Linked DNA regions of Arabidopsis thaliana. The protein of the gene in region 1 interacts with the protein of each later gene in a pairwise test. Each region holds a gene or a part of one and is shown in the gene's direction. Other genes may lie near its edges. The genes, in order: AGL29 and AT4G12210.

Evidence for each region.
Region 2: the proteins of AGL29 (region 1) and AT4G12210 interact in a two-hybrid assay, tested with the Arabidopsis thaliana proteins (one large-scale study listed by BioGRID).

What each region holds. Positions count from the first base shown.
Region 1 is NC_003071.7:14,517,831-14,528,234, forward strand, and holds AGL29 (AGAMOUS-like 29), read left to right. Parts: upstream 1-8,840; 5' UTR 8,841-9,119; coding exon 9,120-9,638; 3' UTR 9,639-9,904; downstream 9,905-10,404. Other genes in the region: AT2G34400 (Pentatricopeptide repeat (PPR-like) superfamily protein), read left to right, coding at 1-356; RWA3 (O-acetyltransferase family protein), read left to right, coding at 889-921, 1,206-1,297, 1,379-1,516, 1,612-1,668, 1,745-1,817, 2,014-2,172, 2,334-2,483, 2,589-2,844 and 7 more; LHB1B2 (photosystem II light harvesting complex protein B1B2), read right to left, coding at 4,886-5,683; LHB1B1 (light-harvesting chlorophyll-protein complex II subunit B1), read left to right, coding at 6,988-7,788; AT2G34450 (HMG-box (high mobility group) DNA-binding family protein), read right to left, coding at 10,088-10,138, 10,301-10,381. UniProt on the Arabidopsis thaliana protein: Probable transcription factor.
Region 2 is NC_003075.7:7,277,957-7,287,804, reverse strand, and holds AT4G12210 (RING/U-box superfamily protein), read left to right. Parts: upstream 1-5,885; coding exon 5,886-6,497; downstream 6,498-9,848. Other genes in the region: AT4G12230 (alpha/beta-Hydrolases superfamily protein), read right to left, coding at 457-837, 1,105-1,245, 1,340-1,447, 1,564-1,672, 1,770-1,912, 2,018-2,116, 2,296-2,421, 3,089-3,160; AT4G12220 (uncharacterized protein), read left to right, coding at 4,066-4,557; AT4G12190 (RING/U-box superfamily protein), read left to right, coding at 9,045-9,260.

The sequences.
Region 1 (10,404 bases):
CAGCGATCCTTGGAGCATGTCATAAGAGAAAAGATGTTGCGATCAGAGAGAAGGCGATGAGGATGTTGATGGAGATGAAAGAGGCGAAGAACGCAGGAAACTATGTAATCTCTTCTAATGTTTTAGCTGATATGAAGATGTGGGATGAGTCTGCGAAGATGAGGGCGTTGATGAGAGACAGAGGCGTCGTTAAGACACCAGGATGCAGCTGGATTGAGATCGAGGGTGAGCTAATGGAATTTCTTGCCGGAAGCGATTATTTACAGTGTGGCAGGGAAGATTCCGGTTCGTTATTTGATTTGTTGGTGGAGGAGATGAAGAGGGAAAGGTATGAATTTGGTTACATTCACCTGTGACTTTCTCGGAGAGTGCAAGTCTAGTAAAATTTGTTGTAAAATAAATTTGAAGTTTTATTTTGAATGTATATGAAACTTAACACTAACAATTAAAATTACTTTGAATCTATAATAGTTACGTCTCTCTCTAGTTATTATTTAATCATTCAGTAATCAATTTTTTTCTGTTGGTATTGTAATCACCGATTCTTAAAATTAGTAGAGAAAGGCAAAAAAACCGAACGGACCAGAAAAGAGAACATTCGCCAAACCAACCAACAACCGTTTGGGTGAGCTTGACGAGAACGACGTCGCACCCGCCATTTTCTCCATCCTTGAAGCAACACCTTCTTCACTTCAGATCTCTTCTTCTTCTTCTTCTTCTTCTTCTTCTTCTTCTTTGCTCGCACCTTCCGTGCTATTGTATTTCTAGGGTTTCGGATCCTGTGCCTTACCTTAGATCCGACGGTGGAGTAGAAATCACTCTCCCTGTCTCTTCCCTTCTTTTTTGTTTCCAGTTTTTGATTGAAGATCCCTTCGTGGATCCACTATAATGGCGGATTCTCAGCCAATCACGCCTGGTCAGGTACGGTATCTCCTAACTTTGTTTTTTTTTGAAGCTTCAGCGTCTTCTTAAATTTCATTTTTTTGCTACGGTTTCAAGGATTTGAAATGAATAGTTTCTGTTGAACGAGATTTCTACTATAATCGATAGGTTGTGGAGTAATTGAATTTACAATTTGGATTAGTTTACTAGAGGGATCAAATTTTGCTAGTGTCTTCAAATGTAGTAGCTTTCAACTTTGAATTTTGAAAATGTTTCTCACCAGAGATTTGGTTTGGATGACCTTTCATATTTCTTTAATGCAGGTTTCGTTTCTACTCGGAGTCATTCCTGTCTTCATAGCATGGATTTACTCAGAGTTTCTAGAGTATAAGAGGTCTTCATTGCACTCTAAAGTGTATGTATCAGGACTCTAATTTAAATGGCTCTCTTGTTATATGTATCTAACCTCTTAGTAACCTATACTTCTTACTTGCAGTCATTCAGATAATAATTTGGTTGAACTTGGTGAGGTAAAAAACAAGGAAGATGAAGGAGTAGTTTTACTTGAAGGAGGTCTTCCAAGATCAGTCTCTACAAAGTTTTATAACTCACCTATCAAAACAAACTTGATTAGGTAGTTTTACTGATTTCTTCCTTTGTGTTTTTTTGTTTCTTAGAGTGGAGTGTTCTTTCAACAAACATAAACCATTTACGTTTGTCTACTTGTAGATTTCTGACGCTGGAAGACTCTTTCTTGATTGAAAATCGAGCAACCTTGAGAGCGATGTAAGTTCCTTAATTTTATCAGAATGGATTCATACTGTTCTTCATTCCCTCTCATGACCGTATTACTTCCTTTCAGGGCTGAGTTTGGGGCTATTCTTTTTTACTTTTATATTAGTGATCGAACAAGCTTGCTTGGAGAGTCTAAAAAGGTGCCTCCTTTAAATCTATGTGATGGATTCTTTTCTCAGTTTCAACTGGTCATCAAAATTCTAAAACCATTTATGTGTTATATATAGTGTTATAGCACAGATGTCGTTAATAGTTTAGAGATAGAAATCTAACATCTGAGTCTAAAAATGGTTCTGCAATTTGTGACACTTTTTTCGTATACTTTCCATTTTGCAGAATTACAACAGAGATCTTTTCCTCTTTCTCTACTGTCTTCTCATCATAGTTTCAGCCATGACATCCTTGAAGAAACACAATGACAAATCACCTATAACAGGAAAATCCATTCTCTATCTTAATCGTCACCAGACTGAAGAGTGGAAGGGATGGATGCAGGTAACTGATTCAGTATTTTCTCAGTAGGTGACCTTAACATTTTCACATGTTTTTGCTCCTGCTTAGCAGAATATATCTGAGTTTTTTGGTATCACGTTTAGATGTTTTGTGTGTGTTGCAACTGTTTTCCATGCTAATTTACAGTTTTTGTGTCTTTGCAGGTTCTATTTCTTATGTATCATTACTTTGCTGCGGCTGAGATATATAATGCAATCAGGGTTTTCATTGCTGCCTACGTCTGGATGACTGGGTTTGGGAACTTCTCTTATTACTATATCAGAAAGGATTTCTCCCTAGCACGATTTACTCAGGTCATTTCAATTGCACAGTTAATTAGTTGACCATGATATATGCTTCTAAGGGACATGTTGTTTTCAATGACTCAAGATGCTCATGAAAACTTTTACTTCTTCCAGATGATGTGGCGTCTTAACTTATTTGTGGCGTTTAGCTGCATTATTCTCAATAATGATTATATGCTGTACTACATCTGTCCAATGCACACTCTGTTCACTCTTATGGTGTATGGAGCCCTTGGTATCTTCAGTCGATATAACGAAATACCATCAGTAATGGCTTTGAAGATTGCTTCATGCTTTCTCGTGGTTATCGTGATGTGGGAGATTCCTGGCGTTTTTGAGATTTTCTGGAGTCCTTTAACATTCTTACTGGGTCAGTATCAGACTCTTCTCATATCTTTTACTGTGTTCGGCATGGTCGACTGCATATCCGTCTTGTGCTAAAAAAATCCTGCCAATGTTTGTTGTCACTTGGTCACTGGAATTAGTGTTTTTGTATGTTGACTAACATTTAGTTTTTTTCCTTACACAAGTACAGGATACACTGATCCAGCTAAACCAGAACTACCACTTTTACATGAATGGCACTTCAGATCAGGACTTGACCGCTACATATGGATCATTGGAATGATATATGCCTATTTCCATCCCACTGTAACTCTTGAACCTACAGCCTTCTCGTTTTTTCATATCTTCTCATGAACCCTACGATTAAAATATTTTTTGACATTTTCATTTCAGGTAGAGAGATGGATGGAGAAATTGGAGGAGTGTGATGCCAAGAGAAAGATGTCAATAAAGACAAGCATAATTGCAATTTCCTCATTTGTGAGTTTGGGTTCTCTCTGGCTTATGGATCTTATGTATTTGATATTATTCTGATGCCCAAGTTGTTCCCTATATTGTTCAGGTTGGTTACCTATGGTATGAATACATATACAAGCTTGACAAGGTTACATACAACAAATATCATCCCTACACATCGTGGATTCCAATAACGTTAGTATCAAATCCCGTTTTCTTTCACCCCAAACATTAAACTTTGAGATGTCTTACTCTCTAAATTCTGACTTTAGCTTTGATTATTTTGTCTTAGCGTCTACATCTGTCTGCGAAATTCTACACAACAGCTGCGTAATTTCTCCATGACACTATTTGCGTATGTTTCTCAATCTTAGTCTCATTCTAACCAAGCTTAGTGTTTTATTCTGTACACAACTCTAATATGACATGACTGTCATATCTTCGTAGGTGGCTCGGCAAGATTACTCTGGAAACCTATATTTCTCAGTTTCACATCTGGTTAAGGTCAGCGAGAAACTGTTTCCTTTCTCCCAATTATGTAGGCAAGAGACCATTTGTCTGAAGGATCTAGGAATGAAATTTTAACTGCAAATTATGTGTTCTGCAGATCGAATGTGCCAAATGGACAGCCTAAGTGGCTATTATGCATTATTCCAGAATACCCAATGCTCAACTTCATGCTCGTCACGGCCATCTATGTCTTGGTAAAGCAATTGTAGAATCCATGAAGAAATCCTGTATTCACGATACGTTCTATTATTGTAATATGTTCTTTTGATTTATTTTCTTCAGGTGTCCCACCGACTTTTCGAGCTTACAAACACGTTAAAGTCTGTTTTCATACCAACAAAAGACGACAAGAGGCTGCTCCACAATGTTCTCGCTGGAGCTGCCATCTCGTTCTGTTTATATTTAACATCTCTCATTCTTCTCCAGATCCCACACTAACCATGTAAGGCCTTTTACTTTGCATGGTCCATTGCAGCCATTGTTGATCTTGGTGTGTACTCGCTTAGGAAGAGATACAATTCTCGATTAACACGCTATAACCATTTTATTTTGACAGGAGGGACTAGAAACATGTTGAAAAACATGAATCTAAAGCTGCACAGAGGTTTCTATGTGAAACTTGCTAAAATAGATACAACACACATCTCATATCGACAATAAAAATTTGTTTTCAAAGATCAGTATTTTTTGAAGCTTGCCAAGTGAAGCATCTTTTGGGTAATTAGAACCAGAGAAGCTTCAAAAAATGGCTTAGAGTGAAGCATCTTGTGGCATTTCGACGGCATCATCTTAGGACGACTTATCTTGTTCGTTTTCTTTCTCGTCTCTGTTGTAATTTTGCTATAAGTTTCTCATATATAGTTTCATTTTGTCTTTTGTTCGTCCGTATTTGGTAGTTTGTCCAAATACAGAACATATGAATTTTACAAGAGTGGATATTTCAATTCAATTGAGTCTTCAGATAAAACGCCAACACAGTTAGAGAAAAAGAGGTTCGATTTCTATACAAAGATACCACAAAGGAAAGTTCACAAATTTACATAGAATAGACCACAAACAAACTCTCTTTCTCTGCTCTCATTCACATAATAAGCAGCCGCTCACTTTCCGGGGACGAAGTTGGTGGCGAAGGCCCAAGCGTTGTTGTTGACTGGGTCGGCCAAATGGTCGGCGAGGTTCTCCAAAGGTCCCTTTCCGGTGACGATGGCTTGAACGAAGAATCCAAACATAGAGAACATAGCCAACCTTCCGTTCTTGAGCTCCTTCACCTTCAACTCTGCGAAAGCCTCGGGGTCAGTAGCGAGGCCCAATGGGTCGAAGCTGCCACCTGGGTAAAGCAAGTCCTCTGCTTCTCCCAATGGACCATCTCCGGCGACTCTGTAGCCTTCAACAGCTCCCATGAGGATAACTTGAGTAGCCCAAATGGCTAAGATGCTCTGAGCGTGGACCAAGCTCGGGTTGCCCAAGTAGTCCAATCCTCCGTCGCTGAAGATCTGTGAACCGGCCTTGAACCAAACCGCTTCTCCGAACTTCACTCCGTTCCTAGCCAATAGCTCAGGGAAAACGCAGCCTAGGGCTCCGAGCATGGCCCATCTGCTGTGGATAACTTCTAGCTCACGGTTCCTGGCGAAGGTCTCTGGGTCGGCGGATAGACCAGCGGTGTCCCATCCGTAGTCACCGGGGAACTCACCGGTAAGGTAGCTCGGGGGCTCGCCGGAGAATGGACCCAAGTACTTGACTCGGTCAGATCCGTACCATGGGCTGCCTGATGGACCCTTTGGCTTGGCGACAGTCTTCCTCATGGTCACACGGCCGCTTCCGAGGACATCTGATGCGGCAGGCTTCACAGCCTTTCCGGCGAAGGCAGGGGAGGACAAAGCCATGGTTGAGGAAGCCATTATAATCTTTGTTTTTGTGTTTTCTTTTTTTTGGTTGTGACTGGTGAGAGTGATTGAAAATGGTTGGGGTATACGTCCACTTTATAGCAATGTTAAGAGTAAGGTTTGTTATCTGTGAAGTATCTGTATCTGTTTAGTGATTGGCTTATGAGATTTTGGGATTGTCGTTATCTTGTCCTATGTGTCACTCTCTAGTCCATAAGCTTTTGCTAGATTCTTTAGCTGCAACGAAAACACTTGTCATTTGTACACAAAGAAACTTTGGGGAAATTTTCAAAGATAAATGCTTGAATTATTGGAAAGAAATATTTGAAATTATTCCAATCTATTTTTTTCTTTTTCCTTGTTTTCTTTAATTCCAATCCACTTCATGCTCTCAATAATATTTTCTTTTTTTTCTTATCAAGTTTGTTTCGAACGCCAAACTACAAAGTTTTTAAGTGAAACTAGAAACACTTACCAAACAAATATATATCAATGTTATGTAAAACAATGCAGTTAGATGAAACAAAAAGTGATACGAAGTTCTTACGATCATAAGTTAATAATATAAAACCGTCGACAATGATATTAACTGATACCTTTGATTGATTTTGTTGAATGTTTTCGGCAACAAATATGACTGGTAAGTTTTTCTTGCCAATACGAATTAGAAAACATGTCTTTGAAGATGAACTGTATTTTTTTTTTTTACTTTGTTGTCATTTTAATGTACTTTCTTATCAGGATTAAATCTTCTGTAATTTAGAGTAGTTTTTTTAACAAGATAATTAACAAACTTAGAGTAATGAAAATTGAGATGTTCAGTTTTCACTCATATTTCACATTTTGGTGAAAGAGTGGGTAGTATGCAACGTTCTAAGTATGTTTGGACTTTGTATCATGTTGTTTTGATTCTTTGACGACATGTCTATTTGGGAAACACCAATGACGTGTACCTTGAGACTGATACGATTCAAAGGGATAGAAACACGTCAGATTTACAAGTGGCACGTCTTCAATGGACAATGGGTATTCCAATATGCTAAGATGCTACGAGATATCTAATTTATCTAACACAACTCAATTCCAAACCAAAAATCTGATGCCAGCTCGACAAGACAAAAAATCTAAGCTCAAAAATGTCAACAACCAATAGAAATCAAGGCATTGACGATATCACGAGATAAGCAAATTAAATCTTCAAGTTTTGCAATTCATATGTACGTTATAAATACCCAAAAACCTCACCGTAACCTAGCTATCCAATTTCATCACATCTTATTAACTAAAGAGCCTTTTACTTGCGCCACACTCTCACCGCAATGGCCGCCTCGACAATGGCTCTCTCCTCTCCTGCTTTGACCGGAAAGGCCGTTAAGCTATCCCCGGCGGCCTCCGAAGTATTTGGAACCGGCCGAATCACCATGCGCAAAGCCTCCAAGCCCACCGGTCCATCCGGCAGCCCATGGTACGGATCCGACCGAGTCAAGTACTTGGGTCCATTCTCCGGTGAGCCTCCGAGCTACCTCACTGGAGAGTTCCCCGGTGATTACGGGTGGGACACTGCCGGTCTATCCGCCGATCCCGAGACCTTCGCTAGGAACCGTGAGCTAGAAGTTATCCACAGCAGATGGGCCATGCTCGGAGCCCTAGGCTGCGTTTTCCCTGAGCTATTGGCTAGGAACGGAGTGAAGTTCGGAGAAGCGGTTTGGTTCAAGGCTGGTTCACAGATCTTCAGCGACGGAGGATTGGACTACTTGGGCAACCCGAGCTTGGTCCACGCTCAGAGCATCTTAGCCATTTGGGCTACTCAAGTTATCCTCATGGGAGCTGTTGAGGGCTACAGAGTCGCCGGAGATGGTCCATTGGGAGAAGCAGAGGACTTGCTTTACCCAGGTGGGAGCTTCGACCCATTGGGCCTCGCTACTGACCCCGAGGCTTTCGCGGAGTTGAAGGTGAAGGAGCTCAAGAACGGAAGGTTGGCTATGTTCTCTATGTTTGGATTCTTCGTTCAGGCCATTGTCACCGGAAAGGGACCGTTGGAGAACCTCGCGGACCACTTGGCTGATCCAGTCAACAACAATGCATGGGCCTTCGCTACCAACTTCGTCCCCGGAAAGTGAGTTTAATTTGTGATCGAGTTGTGTGTATCCGGTTTGTTGCATCTTGGAAATGTGATGCAGATTTCATATCTTGTAAATTACTTTGTATGTGTGTGAAATATTTAAGAAGCTTTATGATATTGATGGATCAGTCACTTACTATTTACTAATGTGCAAGAACATACTTAGACCTAATTCGGTGTTCACACAACATAGTTTGGTTCCAAGAACAGAGATAATACCAAATGATTTGATCGTACCACATCAAAGTCCAAACAAGTTTGTTTTTGTTCTTCAAAATAACTAAAATATATCTCAAACCATCCTTATATGTTTTTAACTTTTTTGTCTTTCACTTTTGGTGTGACTTCTTCAATCGGATTTTGATGTTGCATTGTTGAGAGTTTTGGTGATAAGGAATCCAAAGTCTTGGTCATAATTTTTCTCTTGTTCAAATTTAATTGCACGGAATTTTTCATGCAATTTGGGTGTGTTTGGTATGCAAATTGTCAAAGACTTTATTTTTGATAATGTAGTTCGGAGTCTTGAAAGCATTTGTAGGTCTTATGGTCGACGCTCTTGTTTTAGGTTTCTAATTAAAAAAACATGGTTAAGTTGAATGTGACTGAACTCATAAGTCATTCGAGTGACTCGCAAACCTTTGGACTCCTGTCCTCAGTGGGCATTCGCAAACAAAAACGTTTGAAACGGTCCATAACTTTTTATTTTAATTCAACGACACCATTTGCAAAAACTTTTGAACTACATAACATGGTCGATAACTTATTAATCAACGAGAGGTCTACAAAGAAGAAAAAAAAAATCACTTTGGAGAATAACGACCAGAATATAAAATAAACTTCTAAATTTTGAATTACATAAAAAAAAAAAAAAAAAGAAAGACCAATTATGAATACCATTTTTAATTCTTTACAAGGTAATGAATCCCATCTTTTGTCTATGTTCTTAAGAAATAAAGGGAAAAAATATGAATTGTTAAAGATTCATGTATGTTTTGAATACACAATTAGAAACTATTCAATAGAAAAAAGAAAAATGAAAATTTAAATATTCATGGATGTTTGAATACACACAATTAGAAACTATTCAACGCCCATATAAGGCAATTCAAGATTTTCAATTAAAAACTTGCTAAATCTGCACCCTTGTGATTCTCCACCTCCATTACTATATATGACCCTCGTTAGGTTCAATGAAAATTCTCTACCTCCATCTCCATTACTAAAAACAGAGACATACAACACCAAAATCTTCTTCTTCACCAACATATTCACTTTCACAGCAAAAAAAAACGAGAGGTTCTCTCTTATTCGTACCGTTTTAGCAAACAAATGGGTCGGAGAAAGATCAAGATGGAGATGGTTCAGGACATGAACACACGACAGGTTACCTTTTCAAAACGGAGGACTGGTTTGTTCAAGAAGGCGAGCGAGTTAGCCACGCTCTGCAACGCTGAGTTGGGCATCGTTGTCTTTTCACCAGGAGGCAAGCCTTTCTCCTACGGGAAACCGAATCTTGATTCTGTTGCAGAGCGATTCATGAGAGAATATGATGATTCAGACAGTGGCGATGAAGAAAAAAGTGGTAATTACAGGCCTAAACTGAAGAGGCTGAGTGAACGTCTCGATTTGCTCAACCAAGAGGTTGAAGCTGAGAAGGAACGAGGCGAGAAGAGTCAGGAGAAGCTTGAATCTGCTGGGGATGAGAGATTCAAGGAGTCCATTGAGACGCTTACCCTCGATGAACTCAATGAATACAAAGATAGGCTTCAGACAGTCCATGGTAGGATTGAAGGTCAAGTCAATCACTTGCAGGCTTCGTCTTGCCTCATGCTTCTCTCCAGAAAATAGCTAGACCGACTTGTTAGAGTTACATTCTATTTTTTGTATCAGCCTACAGAACTTACCAACACATGAAAGTTATTGCTGGTGTAGAATTTTCTGTCATCTATGGGGTGTGACTTTCTATTTGACATCAAATGAAAATGTACCTGGAAATTTGTCTGTATTAATCTCAAGTGTACTTGCTAAACTTGATCAGCTTTTTCGTCACTCTGCAGTCTGGAATTTTTGTTTCAAACAGAATCGAGACAATAAAAAGAAACAGTAAAACCCTTTGGCAACCACTCAAGAAACTGGTTAGTATTCATTGATCTCCAAATGCAATCCACAGAAACATGAGTATCAGTGAAAGAATGATCTCAAAAACGAAACAGAAACTCTTAAATATCACCGATATACAAACCCATCCTAGAAGGCTTAGAACAATGTTTCTAATGTGGTAGAAACTAAAAAGTAATCTATTCAGAATAGTCTGAGTCGGTCTCTGATTCATCGTGGGCACCTGATTCCTGCAAAATAGTAAAATGAAAAGCTCAGACTAATGTTTTATCACCGCATCAGTGGGACACTGATGTGAATAAATATTAAGCAAAAACAAGGAAAAATGAAGAACCCACTGATGTGAATAAATATTAAGCAAAAACAAGGAAAAATGAAGAAAACGGTGGTACCATTCTCTTGGTATATTCTGTCATTGCTCGGTGAAATTCTTCCCTCTTCTCAGTAGCTATATCATAATACTTTACCTTTTCCTACAAAACAGTTGAGGAACAAA
Region 2 (9,848 bases), on another chromosome or scaffold:
GCGATTCTCATGTAAGTTCAATCTGGAGCAAAGAAGAAGACGAATTGAAATACAAAATATAACACCTATAACCCTGAACTTTGTAAATGTTACAATTTTCTTCCTTAACTTTATTAGGGAACAAAACACACCACTGTTCATAGAAAATTATCAAATTTCTACTGCATTAGGTTATTACTGTTATTGTTTTGAATACAGTAAAAGATAAAAACAAATAAATAATGAGCGACTAAATTTTAAAAGAGCAAAATGTGTAAATAATAGAAAGCACATTGGTTTAATCCCAAAACCCAACCAAAGTTTTCTTCCAAAAGTGTAATAACTTGAAACATACAGAGAACTCTTGCTTTGTCTTACAAACTTATACAAAAAGTCAAGAGAAACCAAAACAGATCAAAGAAACCCAAAAGTAAAAAGATTTAAACAACAAAAGAGGTAATAAATAAATAAAGAACACTAAACCAATTGTCTGGAGATAAAACCACCACCGTGAACCAAAACCAATGTACAGTAACACAATGTGAAAACCACACAAGACTGATAAACTTCACCAGCGAGTTGAACTAATATGAGGTTGTTCAATGATGAACTCAGTAACTGAATGGTGTCTGTGGGTAAAGGCGGATCGTTGGAGCTTCCGGAACTTTCTGGAAATGTCGGTGATTGATCTGAAGATGAGCTTCCAGAGTCTTGAGGCATATTGTTGTTACGGTCGTCCTTCTCCTCATCACTCTTCTTCTTGCTCTGGCTGCTACCGTCTGTGCCATCTGCGCCGCCTTTTGGAATGCTTTTAACCACTTCGGGTCGTGGTTCTACTCCTACCCGCCTTAAGTGTAGCTGAAAACATAAGAGTGAGATTCATCATAAGAATATAATGTTTTGATGCAGTAACATGATGTTCCTTTACCAAGCAATAAAACCGGTTTGATTGGAAAAAAAAATCCCTTCAACGGTATGAAATCTAAAAAATAGGTAGAGAAGTTTCAAGTTTCTTTAAAAGTTCATAATTTCTTGAAAAGAGCCTTAGGAGTATATAAATTCGGCTGTCGAAACTGAGTATATGTATACTTCAAATTTGGCTTTAGATACTGAGTAGATATGTACCTGTAGATGCAAATTGACTTCGTCGGGCCGTGATAGGAATGGGAAATCTCCTCCACTCTTTAAGTAAGCTCTCCTTGCTTCAGGATACCTCTCTGTTAGTTCATCTTTAAGATGTTGTGGTATTGCGCAGTAATCATTTGTCTGATTTGGAAGACATAACAGCATTGTTAGACAACGATAAAATTACTTGCATTGATAATACGAAAAGTCCCGTATATAGCTAATCGAAACCTACATCCATTATAGTAACTGAAGAATCAGAGAGTAGTAGAGATCCCACGGAAGCAGCATCCACAGTTAAAGTTAACCGGGAAGCCAAATCATCTTTCGACAATGTCTCCACCTAAATCAGAGTAAACCAAAGAAACCGAGCTGGTAAGTTTATCTAAAATTCCTTGTCCACATGTTATTCAGATCCGTTCAAGAAAATATCATAGATGAAATAATCAGGATAGCAACCTGAGAAACAGCAAAGTCGACAGAGTCAGCTATAAAGGGTTCATGAGGTCCGTCACGAATTCCTGTTAAGACGTATCGTTTAAGCAAAAAAGAAGGGGTCCAACTGACACTGCACAGAGCATCACGAAAAGCGTTGAGAGTCAGTACAAATACTTAGGCACAAACAATAAAAATAAAGAAGGAATAATCGTATAAGAGAGACATACAAAGGAGCCCATGGCATTGCAGTAGCAAAAGTACGAGTATCCAAATATGTATTTGATAGAACTAATGATTTAACCCGCCTTGGACGGTGATGAGCAAAGAGTTGTGCTAAGAAGCCTCCAAGGGAAGTACCGTAGAGATGCACCTATTAAGAATGGTCAAGTACAATCACTTACAATGCCATATATTTCCGCACCAATAAAAAAATTTAGGAACTTAGATGGTGATTTGTAACTTAAAGAGATCTTACGTGATGAACATCAATGGTGTCCAAGAACTTCTCAAATGCTTGAATCCACTCATGATAATTCCAAACCCGTGGAATATCAACTGAGATTACCCGATAACCCTGGAATTGCAGATTTAACAACATAAGTTCAACATTTTTGGAGATATCTAATCAGTCCCCAAGGATCACATCAACACATAAGCATCTAAGTTACCATATCCTAACAAATGTTTAAAGCTACCTGTGATTAAGAAAAGATTGTTTGCAGATAACTGTTGAAAGACTAGAACTTGACAAACCTTCATAGAGAGTGCCATAATCTGTTTATAGTAAACATCTGCAGTTCCTGCAATTCCAGGAATACATATGAGCGGAGGAACAGTCTTTGGACCAAAGTCATAGTAACGCCATTGCTTTGTCCCAATCTGCAGTTAGCATGCACATAAAGCTAGATATTTATAAGATTGTTTATGCTCTGAGCAAATGACATTCCAAGAAAAAACAAAAAAAATGAAATCTTTCATTCCGAAGCTTGAAACAGTGGACATACATGTACAAATGCTTAACAAATCACAGTTTTCCAAACTCTAAGCAACACAACCCGAACAAACATTACATCTATAGAGCCATTCAATAGTTGCTTGGGATTAGTAGAGCTAAGAACTAAATATGCGAACATAAACAAAGACAAATCACTAAGTGTGTCACAGGCTACTCATAGATCAAATCAAAAGCAACACTAAAAGAATCTACAGAAGTTAAAAAGATCAAAAATGGAGAATACCCATCACTAAACTAAAGACTACCAAGTTCTTGCTTTTAGACAAGAACCCAAAAATTAAAATTCTAAGCATAAAATTTGAACCCAAACTCAGCAGGATAAACCCATTTACGATAGAACTACTCACACAAAAAATTCTGCATAAACCCAAACGATTAAAACCCACATGAGATTAATCGAAAATCAACAAAAAAAAAAACAAAAATCAAAACCTCAAAAGCTCGAGATTAAACCTAATTTAGTAGCCGAATAGAATGCAGAATCGAAAATTCATCAAAAGTCAAAGAGAGAGAGAGGAAGAAGAAACATACGGGAATCTTGTGAAGAGGAACCTGAGATTTAAAGTAGACGTAATCTCCGGGCGTCGAAGAGACGCCTTTCATCGCCGATCGGAGATTTTCAACATCCGATCGAATTTATGTATTTAATTTCGCTTTTGCTCTTCACGAACAACTTTGCAATTAATCTTTTTTATTTTTTTTTGCTCTGATTTTCGATAGGAATTATATAACGGCGAGATAACAGAGTCTCCTATATCAACTGCCTGTCAACGTTGACGCCGTGAATGGTCCGTGATTGTAGCAGTCATTCTCAGTTAACGACGTAAAGTATGTAATAATTAATGGTCATCATGTGACTCATCAACATCTATTTTCACATATGTTTTGATTAGATTTCGGTATGAATCAATTTCCAAGAATATTTGGATTTTGATATAATTTCTTTCATTTTATTGATCTGTCTTTCCCAACCGAATTACCCATATTTTTAATATATTTGGAATAATTGCAGAAAAATGCACAAACTTTTCTTTATTTTTAATTTTTCATAGTGCAAATGTAAAAGTAGATAATTTAGCACGAAAGATTCGTATCAAACCGTATTATACCATATATGTAAACAATATTTTTTGGGATTAACTATTTTGAATTCTAATTAATATCGGTTGCCAAAAATATAAAGATCTATTTTACGTACTACTCTTAAAATTAATCGAGAATCAGTTAAAAGAAATAAGTAACATATATCCACCTGGAATTAACATTGTCTCCAATATTTAGTAAATTATCGACCCAAAACACATGGAAAAAAGGAAACTTCTTAAAGAAAAGGAAATTTGTTTGATGACAAGAAAAAAGGACACTAGAACCTGAAATATGTGACTATACTACGTAACCCTAAAGCTATTCACAATTCTCTTCTCTCTCAATTTTCTCTCATTACGATTTGCGAAGTCGTCTTCTTCTCTGTTTGAATCTCTTCTCTGTTTTTCTTTTCGTTTCAAAACATGAAATATTGCAAAGTGGAATTACGCTTCATCAACCAAAGGAAACTCTCTCCATCACAACCAAACTCAGTTCTCGTTTTCATCGAAACCAAATCTGAAGAGATCTTTGTAAACCCAACAACCGGTCACCAAACCAGCCGGTCCACTCCGGCTTCACCATCTTTTTTCGATACTATCAATCTCTGTAGTTCTAGTCACCACCACATCCGATCACTTCTCCGTAGTCGGTTCGTTAGCTACCATTTTTTGTGTGATATCTTAGCCCCAGAGATCGCGACGGAGGCAATCAACTTAGGTTTTGGACGAAACGGCTTTACCTTCACCGTGGTCGTCACAGTTACTAACCGGACCGTCTCCGTTACTTCAAACGACACAGAAATCATTGAGAATGGTTCTACTAGAGAGGATAAAAGCAGAGGAATTAAAGAGTTCGAACATGGAAACAGAGTCGTGTTCCATCTGTTTCCACGATCTCTCCAGTCCGAAACCTAGCGATCTCCCACGCATGACTTGTTCTAAGAATTGAAAGTATTAGGGTTTCATCTACTGATTGCATAACTTGTGTCACACGTACGCTCTATATTGGGGAAATTTTATGTGATTTTGTTTATTAAGGTTTCAAATCTAATTTTGTTTCATTCGCTCTGTGCTTCCAGAAATTGAATGTAATTTTGTGCTTTTAAGGGTTTTAAATAAGATCATTGGACCATCATTAATGGGAGGTTATTAACAATGGCTCTTAGCAATAATTTAGGAATAGATTTTGAAAATTTGGTAGTTAAGAGTTTGGGTAAGATTTTTAAGTTTAGTCATCCTCAATGATAGTATATTAAGTTAGGATTCTTAAAAAAAAAAAGATATGATTTTGGTTTATGTGTGGTTTTGTGGAGAGAAGGAATATATGCGATGAAGTAATTGGTGGTGTTTGGTGTATTGACACAAAGATATAAAAGAGATTCATAATTGGTATTTAAGAGTTCATAATCAAAACAAATTTTTGAGAAAAAAATGATTGCTTTCTGCATTTTTAGAGTTAAAAAGCTAGACTTTGAGGCTGAGACCTACTTATATTGTGTTACAGGGAGTGTATTGAGCTAAATATGGCTATAATACAATTTGGAAGTACATGTGTTGCTCAATAAAGTATTCGTCCTCAATTTGCAGTCAGAGCTTATTATCCCAGCAGAATCTAATCAAGTCGCCAACAAAAGTATGATTTTTAAGTCTCTGGATTGCATTGAGTTCTTGACATAGAGGTATTGAAACTAGTTTGATTTACTTTTCTGTGGCTTTAAGCCTTTCAAGGATTTTGATTTGTTTTCATTGCACATCTTAAGATATTAGTCTTCGTAGAATGAAGTTTGTATTTTCCCATGGCCCACACATAGTTTGCCACATCATCGTCTCTTACCATCATTTTTCGCCTCTTGTATAAGAGGCCCTCTTAAGTTAATACATCCTTTAGCATTTAATTTTATTCTCAAATTAATTTAAGAACCCACTAAAAACTTACCAATAATTATTGCTAAGTCTTAAACTAATAAGTAATAACCAAAACCCCTTCAAATCAAACTCTACAAATAAAACTGTTAAAAAGGAAAAAAGGAAACTTCTTAAAAAAAAAGGAAATTGTTAGGTGACAGAGAAAAAAAGGAAACTAGAACCTAAAATATCTGAACGTTGAAGACGCGTATATATATCCTCACTACGTAACCCTAAAGCTTCACAAATTCTCTCCTCTCTCAATTTGCTCTCGCTAGTCACTACGATTTGCCAAGTCTTCTTCTTCTACTTCTCTGTTTCTCTTTCCGTTTCAAAACATGAATTCTCGCAAAGTGGAATTTCGCTTCACCAATCTTCAAAGGAAACTCTCTTCTCCATCACATGCAAACTCAGTCATCGTTGAGATCGATACCAAATCTGAAGAGATCTTTGTAAACCAAACAACCGATCACCAAACCCGCCGGTCCACTCCGGCTACTCTATCTTGTCTCGACACTATCAATCTCAGTAGTTCTAGTCACGACCACATCCGATCACTTCTCCGTACCCGATTCGCTAGCCACCATTGGTTGTGTGATGACCTAGCCTCAGAGATCTCAACGGCGGCTATCGACTTAGGTTTTGGACGAAACGGTTTTACCATCACCGTGGTCGTCACAGTTACTTACCGGACTGTCTCGGTAACGTCAAACAACAAGAAATCTTTGAGGATAGTTCTACTAGGAAGGATAAAAGCAGAGGAATTGAAGAGTTTGAAGATGGAAACAGAGTCTTGTTCAATCTGTCTTGAGAATCTAGTCTCCGGTCCAAAACCTAGCGACCTCACACGCATGACTTGTTCTCATGTCTTCCACAATCCCTGTCTCTTGGAGTGGTTCATGCGTAAAAACACTTGTCCCCTGTGTCGGACGGAGCTCTACGATCGATGACTGGAACCAAAGATTGATATTAGGGTTTTATGTATGAAAATTTCATGTAATTTTCGTATTAAGGTTGAAATTATGGTTTCCATTAGAAGTTAGAAAAAGATTGAAATTAGGGTTTTCGATAGAAAAAAATTCTAATTTTGTGTCACACACGCTGAAGAAATTGAATGTAATTTGTTGTTTTTAAGAGTTTTACTCAATTAGAGAAGTTTTTAATCACAACAAAAAACTACAAACTTTGTCGGTTTTAAGTTATTCACTTGCAAGTTGCAACTCTTAAATTCTTAACAAAATAACCAAAACCCTTCATCAAGCTGTTGCTGAAATTAAATCATGATTCATATGTGTCTTCTTCAATGTGATTGTTTCACCTCTCACATGAAGTCCTTCTGCAGTGTGTCTTTATAATATCCTTATGCAATTTCAACTCTTTGGATAATACTTCAGCTACTTCAACATATTTGCTAGTCACCAATCAAAGTTACGAAATATTGACACTTACAGAGATACATACATTGGCACTTCCCACAAAGTATAATTCTTCCTAAAATGCTCAAGCATTATTCCTTCTTGGAACAGATGCTTCTTGTGCTTTATAAGCATGTTCCTTCGGCTTCTCAGAGTTCCTAGATGGACAGTCGTTTTTGTAGTGGCCATCTTCCCCACAAATCCAGCAAGCCCCTTTCTCTCCTTTGGATTTTGACCTATCTCTACTAACAGACCTGCGTCTCACATGAAGTTCCTCTGCAGTTTCTTTATATCCTTTGGAACTCTTTGGATAGTACAGCACAAATCACTTCGTCTAGCGTAAGGTCATCAAATTAATTTGGTAAAGAAATCAGCAAACGTATCGCTTTCGTCTTCAACTAATCTCTCAAACTCATCGATGTTTTCCTCAACAGACTGGCTTTCATATATCCTAAAACTACACAGCTTATATTGTAGGTAAGTCCTGCCAGTCCTACACTCTACACTACCAGCAGATCTAGCTAGTAATGTAGAGTTTGTCGAGAACATATAACATACCAGCAGCTGTCTTCTCCTTCATAAGTTTCTTTCGCAGATTCTGATTTTCTACGCTCTGAACAATCATGCTCATTGCCTTTCTCTTCTTCTCTTCTAGATCTAGACTCAAAGCTACACAATGACTCTTACCTTCATCTGTTCCAACAGATTTGTTCTCATCCTCCTCAATCTTTAAAGCATCAATCACATCAAGAATCTCAAAACGAGCAAGGATCTTCGTCTTCCCCAAAATGTAATCACCTCTCCCATCAAACTTTTCAATCTGTTCTGGCAAAGAAATCATCAAATATATAGCCTGATCTTCATCAAATATCTCTACTTTAGCATTACTTAGTTCATCAATCAACCACTGAAACTCATCAACGTTCTCCATAACAGACTTGCTTTCGCCCATTCTAAAACTATGCAACTTTTCTCTCAAGTAAAACCTCCTAGCTAAAGAAGTAGTCATATAGTATTTGTCTACAACTTGTATCATACCAGTAGCTGTCTAACAGTCATTTCGTCGAACAACTTCTGTGCACAAAAAAAAATACTAAAACAAAAAACGTAAATTGTCTTACAGTGCTCTATCATAAGCTAGAACATACACAGGTCTATTATATGAGAAGAATTACAATGAAATTAAACGAAAAGAGTACTGAAGTTTCCGTAAAAGCCAGAGCCATCACTGCAAACAAACGACGTCTCTCTGTTTTGCATTATCAGTGAAATTACAGTAACGTCACAGAACAAAACAGGAAGAGACAAAACAGTTAACCAAAGGTTAACCGGAATTGAACCAAGCATATTTAAACAAAACCACACCACATAATTAAGAACCAAACTTCTCCTAATTAGCCATAAACAAGATTATGCATCTCATCCCATAATCCATCAGGACTAAAAGCCCAAGTTAAATTGTCGACCCAAATTAAAAGCCCATATATAAAAAAAGGAAATTTCTTCGTGAACACGCTTTATATATCTCTGTCACTACGTAACCCTAACTAAAGCTATTCACAATTCTCTCTTCTCTCTCAATTTTCTCTCAGTTTGCTCTCATTACGATTTTCGACTTCTTCTTTGTGTGAATCTCCTCTGATTTTGTTTTCTTTGGGATTTTCTCTGTTCGTTTCAAAACATGACTTCTCTTGAAATGGAAGTTCACGTCAGTGGAAGGGGACTCTCTCCATCAGAACCAAACTCAAACTTAAACCAGTCATCATAAGCGTCGAAAACATATCTGAAGAGATCATTGAAGACCAAACAACCGGTCGCCAAACCCGCCGGACTCAGGTTTCAGAACCTTTTCTCATCAATATCAATCTCTGTAGTTCTAGTCACGACCACATCCGAACGCTTCTCCACGATCGATTAGTCGGATACCCCTTTTGGAGTTACTTGTGCGATGACTTAGCCACAGAGATCTCAACGGCTGCAATAGACTTAGGTTTTGGGCGCAACGGCTTTACCTTGACCGTGGACGCTACAGTTACTTACCTGACCGTCTCCGTTACGTCAGACAACGAGAGATCATTGAGGATGGTTCTGCTAGGGAGAATAAAAACAGAGGAATTGAAGAGTTTGAAGATGGAAACAGAGCCGTGTTCCATCTGTCTCGAGAGTCTAGTCTCCGGTCCTAAACCTAGGGACATCACACGCATGACTTGTTCTCATGTCTTCCACAATGGCTGTCTTTTAGAGTGGCTCAAGCGTAAGAACACTTGTCCCCTTTGTCGGACTGAGCTCTACGATTGATTGATGACTGCAAAAAAAGATTGAAATTAGGGTTTTATGTAAGGAAATTTCATGTAATTTTGAGTATTAAGGTTTCCAATAGAAGTTAGAAATTCTAATTTTGTGTCACGCACGCTCTTTAACTAGTTCAAGAAATTGAATGTAATTTGTTGTTTTTAAGGGCTTAACACAGTTAGAGAAGAGGATTGAAATTTTTAATACCCTTTCACATCAAGCTGTTGCTGAAATTAAATGATGATTCCTTATGCGTCTTCTTCAATGTGATTTGTTTCACCTCTCACATGAAGTCCTTCTGCAAATTTCAACTCTTTGGATAATACAGCACAAATCACTTCAGCTATTTCAACATATTTGTTTCCATCCTTTTCTTCAATCTTTTAAAGCTTCCATCAAACAAAGAATACCAAGATGAGCACGGACTCTGATCTTCCGTAATCACCTCTTCTATATATGAAGCTTTTGATCTTCTTTTTTGAATGTAATGTTAAATTAGATTCAAAAGAAAGGTGTCATTTGTACACTCAGTGCAACGTGTGTTTGAAAAAGCTAAATACAACTTTGATCAAAGTGAAAAAAAAAGTTAACTTC